Lepisosteus oculatus: one gene and its partner. The protein of the gene in region 2 purifies or fractionates together with the protein of the main gene of each other region. This does not show direct contact. Links are inferred from orthologs where the notes say so. Each region holds a gene or a part of one and is shown on either strand. Other genes may lie near its edges.

Evidence for each region. Proteins that work in one complex are often made in the same cells at the same time.
Region 1: the proteins of rnf185 (region 2) and erlin1 purify together in Homo sapiens (affinity purification with mass spectrometry; 3 studies listed by BioGRID and IntAct, with this or other methods). This does not show direct contact. The link is inferred for Lepisosteus oculatus from reciprocal best matches to the Homo sapiens genes RNF185 and ERLIN1.

Annotation. Positions count from the first base shown.
Region 1 is NC_090699.1:17,618,797-17,622,547, forward strand, and holds the start of erlin1 (erlin-1), read right to left. Parts: upstream 2,457-3,751; 5' UTR 2,326-2,456; intron 1-2,325. UniProt on the Homo sapiens protein: Component of the ERLIN1/ERLIN2 complex which mediates the endoplasmic reticulum-associated degradation (ERAD) of inositol 1,4,5-trisphosphate receptors (IP3Rs).
Region 2 is NC_090717.1:6,590,267-6,594,017, reverse strand, and holds the start of rnf185 (E3 ubiquitin-protein ligase RNF185), read right to left. Parts: upstream 2,586-3,751; 5' UTR 2,201-2,585; intron 2,174-2,200; exon of another isoform or gene 1,964-2,173; intron 1,945-1,963; exon of another isoform or gene 1,646-1,944; 5' UTR 1,547-1,645; intron 1,528-1,546; exon of another isoform or gene 1,262-1,527; intron 627-1,261; 5' UTR 569-626; coding exon 411-568; intron 1-410. UniProt on the Homo sapiens protein: E3 ubiquitin-protein ligase that regulates selective mitochondrial autophagy by mediating 'Lys-63'-linked polyubiquitination of BNIP1.

The DNA of each region.
Region 1 (3,751 bases), on a different chromosome or scaffold from region 2:
GAAGCCATTTTAATGTGCTCAATTTGAAGACGTAAAACTGATTGCACTTTAAATACTGGGAAGGTTGAGGACCAACACATACCCTAAAGAGCTGACAGTGTGATCAAGAGTGATAAAAACACTCTTGCCAAGTATTTACGTATAAAGACCGCATAAACCAGGCTTAAGCTAGACTGTTTAAGCATGCTTAATTAAAACACTGATAAAATGAGAGAGGAATTCAGTAATACTACACTTGGGCCAGGTCTCTATAAGTCCTTAAGAGTGATTTTCTTTTTACACAGCTCATAGAAGGTACCACCTACCTTAACCAAGATGTTCAAGAGTCATAGCGGCAGCCTTGGGTACAATAACTGCTCAGAAGTAGAACATGTATATACAGTACTGTGACACATTTCATTTCAGAACAAGGGAAAAACAGGTTTCACACTGAGGTGCAGGAAGGTAACAAGTTCTCTGGGAATGACGCATACTGAAAGAGGTTTACAGGAATGCTCCAGACCACTACAGGCCCGAAGAGGTTTAAACCAGTGCTGAACAGATCATGTTCCATGGCGGGCAGGTCGGTTCCAGTGTGAGACAGCTGATCCCTTCCACCCAGCCCACAGCTGTGACACATTCCACAGCAAGAAGCAGGTGTCCCCAGAGCAGGCTAGGCTGTACTGTGGGCTCAGCTGCAGTCACGCCCCCTGATAACTGACAAGCCCACGAAACCAAGATCCACATGTACTGCAAATGATGTCTTATACCAACACCGAGAATGCACAACCTAGTGAGTTCACACAGTGCATCACAAACACCCACTGAATCTCCAGGTTGAGCAGTATGTTACTGCATCTATACAGGCATAAGAAACAAGACAGGTTTCAGATCTGTAAAGTGCATCAAAAGCATAGGGTGGCTGAACTTCAGCTTTTCAGACTGACTCAAATACCACCTTTGGAACTCAACACTAAATGAAATGTGTGAAAATGAAATGAAATGTGAAAAGAGAATATTGCACAGGTACTCGGAACAAATATTCGAAATCCTCAAAGTCCCAGCGGAATTCTCCAGACTTATCAGTGAAAACCTATCCATGCCTTTAAAGTTGAATTCCTTTTTTTATTTAAATTCTATTAGAAATTTAAAGAATCAAAAGGCAAGGCATACAATGGAAATATGTAAAAAGTATAATTTTAAGTTTTTACAATTGTGAATTCTTCTGGCTTTGAAGTGTTTATTTCTGTATCTATTTCATTATGGTGTTTAAATAAGAACTTGTTTTTTTTTTAAAAAACGTATCAGTGAAAAGCGAACCACTGGATTCAAGTAGAAACTATGGGGAAGTGCAATATAACTGAGAACAGAAGCGCTTTTTCACACAGAAGCCTGGTGTGGGAGTATGGCTTCTCTCAAGAAACAGACGAAACTCTCCATTCTGTCCGGGAAACATCTCACATTCTTTTAGCAAACACAAACTGGGCCTCTTCAGATTTGCCGTCCTTGAACTAAACCTTTGTTTTGGTTGCTCTTTCCAAGTATAACAACCTTGCTTAAGCCCATCCAGTGGATTACCCTGCCTTCCTCGTCTCCCGTGAGCAAACACCGTGCTCTTGCGCCTCAAATCCACAAGGAGCACACATGAACTCAGTTTAGCCTAGATGTGTTCCTAATGTTCTTGTCTGCTCCTTTTTTTTTAAATATAAAGGCACTTTCAGATGTATATTTAAACTTTCAGTTTATAGTTTGAGGTAATGCTCAAAAGCAACTTCAGGCGCTCTAACGATTTACTGTCAGTGTAAAACGTGATCTTTAGTCGGAGGGAATGACGTTAAACTGGAAATCGTGTCCAACATGATTTTTTTTGCTTGCCGTATAGTACATGTTCGTTTTCGTGAAGGGCTACCTAAATCGATACCTCCTGCACAATTCCAGTTGTATGGAGACAAATATACACATTCAGAAACGGAGAAAAAACACGAGTTACAACATGACCGGATCTTTCCCACAAGCCACAGTGGCTTATCGCCCCAGGATCTTGCTACTGTCTGCAGTAACAAGACCGCCACTCCGGACTCGGGACTAGCGGCCACAAGCACGAACGCCGCCCCTCTGCCCGTGTCCGTTCCTCGATTAAACCCGCAACACGTTATTTCAGCGAAGTTTTTCGATGCAATCGAGCTCTCCAACTCCCGAGCCCACGAACCAGTGCGGATTCAGCCAGTTGCACGGCGTGTAGCAAACAGGGAGGAAAAAAAAAAACTCCATGACGGATTACCATAATGAGTAATGGATTGCACACGTTAAATTAATTTAAAAAAAATCCCAATGCACTCTGCTCACCAAGCTTTCAAACAGTCTCTTCTGACAAGTCGGTTATGAGCGAAATCCTCCCTGTCCATCCCCCCCGCAGGACTCACTGCAGCAATGGACTCGACTCGCAGCTCCAGCGCCGCTTCTCTTCCGGGTGAAGAGTGCACCGCCCGTTAAAGGGGAGGGGAGAGGCCGGCCTGCCTGCCTGCCTTTGCAAGTATGCCGACGGATTTTGCGCTTAACCAGGTCTTACCGATTTTCGGTGACTCAACAGCTGTCAAATGGTACGGGTGATTGATTGCTCGACGGTTGGCATTTCGTGACCTAATCGCACTCCGAACCGAACACCCGTTTTTGAAACGGGATGAGGGCAAAACATCTGCGGGTTAGCGCCCGGGAAAAATAAAAGTCCCCCCCCCAGGAGTGTTTCTGGAAGACAATGCCTTTAAATCGGAAGATATTAGTTCATCGAGAAAAGGTGAAGGTACAACGCCAAGAGCAGCGAGATAAGCGCAGAGCGGTATTTGTCTTGGCACGGATTTAAAAAAAAAAAGTTCACACAGGGACGTATTTCACCGAACTACATGTGCAGGAGGGGCTGGTTCTGAATGTGTAGGTTTCCGGAAAATGATTTACTAAAGGTAACAGAAAAGATGTCACAGCAAAACAGAAATGACTTCTGTGAAGATGCAAGAACGGGCAGGCAACCCATCTGCCTTGCGCGTTTGTGTTCGCCCGGAGGCAGGTTCCCCGGGAATGTGTGTGTGGAAGGGTATCGGCAAACCAGCCGGTGTCTGTGCCCAGGGACTGTAGAACTGGGGGTTGCATGTAAGCTGTGAGACAGCGGATCCAAATATGAATTTGGCGGAAGGCTTTTAGTAGGTATAAAACTTCACTTGACCGGAAGGGGAAAAAATGCAGTTCAACATCACAGCATGCAGTAGTAAATCTTTTCATAAAAGTAAATAATAATTCTGAGCACTAAAACCCAAATCAACACATTACAGGTGCAATTGTGGTATTACATATTTAATTAATCACAATAATATGCATTTTTACACATTTACAATCAAACTGGTGTACACACTTTCAAAACTGTACAATTCCATCATTTAACAATTCCCAAACAGTATAAAATTACATGTTACACATTATCAGGTGTGTAGCTCTTCAAAGCAAAGCAGCATAAATTCATCTAAAAGATGCATCTTATGGACTAATAACAAAAAAAACGTCCATTGCATTACAATAAGAAACTATTTTTACAACTGCAAATTTCCTTTCAAAGAGCAAACTCCACTTCCATGTCCTTTTCAGTAGCAAATATGTAGAAATATTAAAAGTAACTGAAGTTGCTTTGTAAATCTTGCAGCTTATGACTCCAAAACTTGAAGTCTGTGAAAATATGTACTTGGTCTTGACAGCTCTCCTGGAGTTGAACCGTTTTGAATTCTGG
Region 2 (3,751 bases):
GCCTTGCTCAGGAGTAGCAGGAGTAGGATTCCTCTGCCGGCCACGGGATTTGAACCGGCAACCTTCCAGTCACAGGCGCAGATCCTTAGCCACAGAGCCACGGCTCCGCCCATCTTGACCATCATGCCTTGAAAGCTGTCTTCTAGACATTATCAGCAAAGAAGAAAGCCCACAACTAACTAATCTGCTGTCACGACAATTTCTAACGTGTAGCTCACCCTGTGCTTACAACGGAATAGCCCATGCCAATAATTCTAAATGTGCCTCTTCATTCACAAATTGACACAGGACCACACCTGTCCCACCCCCACATCGCACTGACACCCCTGTCTGCGGCTCTGCCCCACCCCCCCCCCCCCGTTAGCACATGGAATTCTGGGAAACAGGTACACGGATCCACGCACACACACCAGAACAGGTGTCCACAGAGACTGATGACCGCGTCCTTGGCTGTGTCCAGGCAGATGTTGCACTCAAACGTGCTGTCCTGGTTACTCCCCTCTCCGGTGGTGCAGCCGGTGCTGGCACTGTCCGTGGAGCCAGAGGCCGTAGGGCCCGCGCTGGCCATCTCCGGCTGTAGTCAAGGGAACGGCGGACAGGAAAAGCTAGCCCTCTGTTGCTGGCTCCTAGAGAAAGCACAGGACAGCGTTTGAGATCTGTTACAAGTATACCGCGAGGCACTGAAAACACAACAAATGCTGCTTCTTCCAACACTCATTTGTTGCACTTTATTGCCTTTTAGTATATTTATCCACAGAGCTTAATAAGAATTCCTTGTATCTATATAGCAATTTTCATTATAAAGTACATCAAAGCGCTTATTAACACAGAGGAAGATGGCTAATATTCAGGACAATGAACTGCAAAGAACAGTGCACAAATATAAGATGCAGTGTCAGAAAACTGGTTAATACAGTAGCTGAACAACTAAACAGTGGACAGAAAATGACTACAATACCAGGACGAATCGTAGCCATGTCAAATCATTTTACAAGGAAGGGCTTCTGCACTTAGGAGAGAGATAGGCAGGTTATTTCAAAACACCATGTTCGCGTCCGAATACTGACACCGTCACAAGTGCAAAACAAAATCCAAGACATCTTTAAAAAAAGATCATACTATTAATTAATAACAGCGAGGAAAACCAGGAGACAGTTGTGATTTCACTGAAACCTTAACTGGAAGAAAAGTTAGTCAAATATTAATGCTTCATCTCTGAATTCCAGCCATGTTAGCATACATTGTATTTAAAAAAAAATACCGTAATTGTAGAGATCTTAGCTATTTAATTCGGAGTATTCTTATATCCGAATTATGTTTATTATATCGATCAAATCCACAAAGTAGTTCAGCAAGTACACTCCAGACAACGACTGCCGGATGTAGTTATTTCTCGTGGAAACCGTGGAAAAATGCTGTCCTTTCAGAATCGGAGGTCCCTTCGTGAAAAGGTGAGTTAGGTGATCGTGTACACCAAGAATAAAAGTCTCTCAACATAACAAAGCATATCAAGTCTCAGCTTGCTCCGCAAATCCCGAGTACTTACTGGACGATTATCTAGACCAGAGCCACCCGTCCAGATTTAGTAACAGCCTGGTGACACCGTCACGAACAGGATCGCACCGACTGGGTCTGAAGGAAAACCCTGACCCCGCACCAGGGGCCAATGGCAAGGAGACAGGTTATCACTGACCCAGGTGCTGCAACAGACCCGCAATACCCCCCCGCCGCCTCACTGCAACAGTTAGATCCGTGTTTCAGGTGAACAGCTCAGCAAATCGTGTCCCACAGAAGCTCAGAAGCATGGTGTAAAGCCCTTGTCGACAACCCGAGCGCGACCCCAGCCGGAGCGACAGACGGCGACAGGCGCAGGGAGACGAGTCCCGGAGGGCCTCACGCAACCCCGGCGCAAAACTGACTCACGCAAAGACGCACGACTGGCGACACAATAGTGCACTCTTACACGAAACCGGTGTCAAAGCCAACTCCCCGTCGTGGGCTTGTGCTAGGACACGGGTCAGGGCCGTTTCATTCTTGTATGCGTCAACGACGTCGGGTTATAAGCAGTGCCGGAGGTACTCGGGGAATGTCTTGGAAGACACCCCCCCCGTGTTTTCACTACTTGTCGTGGCTCGGATCGGCTCGGCGTCCGCGCCGATCGCCCCGAAAACAACAAAACCGTCACGGCACACCGCCTGACCTCTCCTCGGTTTCTCGAGTTTTCCTCTCGCTGCTGCTGCTCCTGCTCCTGGGTCCGTCTGTCTGGTTGGATCCCCTGCTGCCCCGACTCCGACAGCACCCGGAAGCACACGCGCAGGAACGCGACAGCGTGACCCGAGCGAGAGCCGCGAGCCGCGCCGGGACGGACTCGATCTATTTATCGCGTCCCTGGCAAGGAGGGCCGCCGTAGAGAAAACCGACAGACTCAAACGAAACACGTCTGAGGTGTAGCCGAACTATCTGGCGCCGCATTTCTGTTTCCGCCCACTTTAAGAGACGCCGCGGCATGCATTTCGTTTCTTGGGCGAGCCTGTTTCGGGGCCCACTATTGCCAAAAAAACATCCGTCATCATATATTAAGGCTTGTAAGACCCCTGTCTTTACCAAGCAAGTACAGGTACACCGTGTATTGTGGGTCTGATGGTTAAACGAGAGGCCAAGACCCGTGTTGGTTCGGGTTTTGTCTGAAAAGGCGAGAGCAGTGCCCCCTGGCGGTGTCTCGGCGGTTTTACTGGTGAAGCCGATGCCAGGTGAAGAGTGGAGACGCGGGCACGTCGTGGTAACAAGAAGGGGCAAAAGCTAAACACGCGTTTTAGATTGTCCTCACGGACGCGGAATATTCTCAATCTAAAATACAGAACTTTTATAACAGAGAATGGGACGCGTCCGTTTTTATACGGTGGGAGAAAACAAGAGACAAAAAAGGTCATGTCAGAAGTGGGATTCGAACCCACGCCTCCATTCGGAGACCAGAATACCCGCCCGGGGAAGGAGTCGCTCCTTGAGTCTGGCGCCTTAGACCACTCGGCCATCCTGACACTGACTCTCTCTGCCTCTAAACAGGGTTATATGTTTCCATCTGTCCTGTAAATTAATGTACATTCATTTGCGATTAATCGCGCAATGCGTTACATTCACTTCTGCAAATTAATCGATTTACATGTTGCAGGACAGCTGTTTGCCTGGTAAAGAATGAGACATTAAAACGTAACGCAGTAATTACTTAAACCCGTAAAAAATGGATGCATTACATTTTGTAATGTTAATTTTCGTTATTTTTCATTTTTAACAGCTCGATTCAAGTATTAATGTGTCAACGCACGGACGAAAGTTAATGATGTACAGGTAGAACCATCATTTTTTGTAATAGTTGCAGAACATTTCTTATGGAGTTAATTTTTAATTTAAAATAAAAAATCCAAATATTCATATTTTCTCCAAAAATAACAACAACAACAACAACAACAAAATTTAATTTGTTGTTCTGGCACAACATTTCACTATTTAGAAATGACCACAAGAGAGTGCTCTTGTGATCCTTTCTTGTGACAGATCAGAGAACACAATCAGAACCACCACAACCACCACCATAATAATAATAATAATAATCGAGTGGAATGGGTCAAAAAGAGGCCATGCATCTTTCACGATTTAAACTGGAAAGGAAGATGAATAAACAAGCAAAAATAAACGCAGTAAATTATTACACGGTCTTGCACAAGGATTTCATGGCAACATCCGTGCGTCCCCT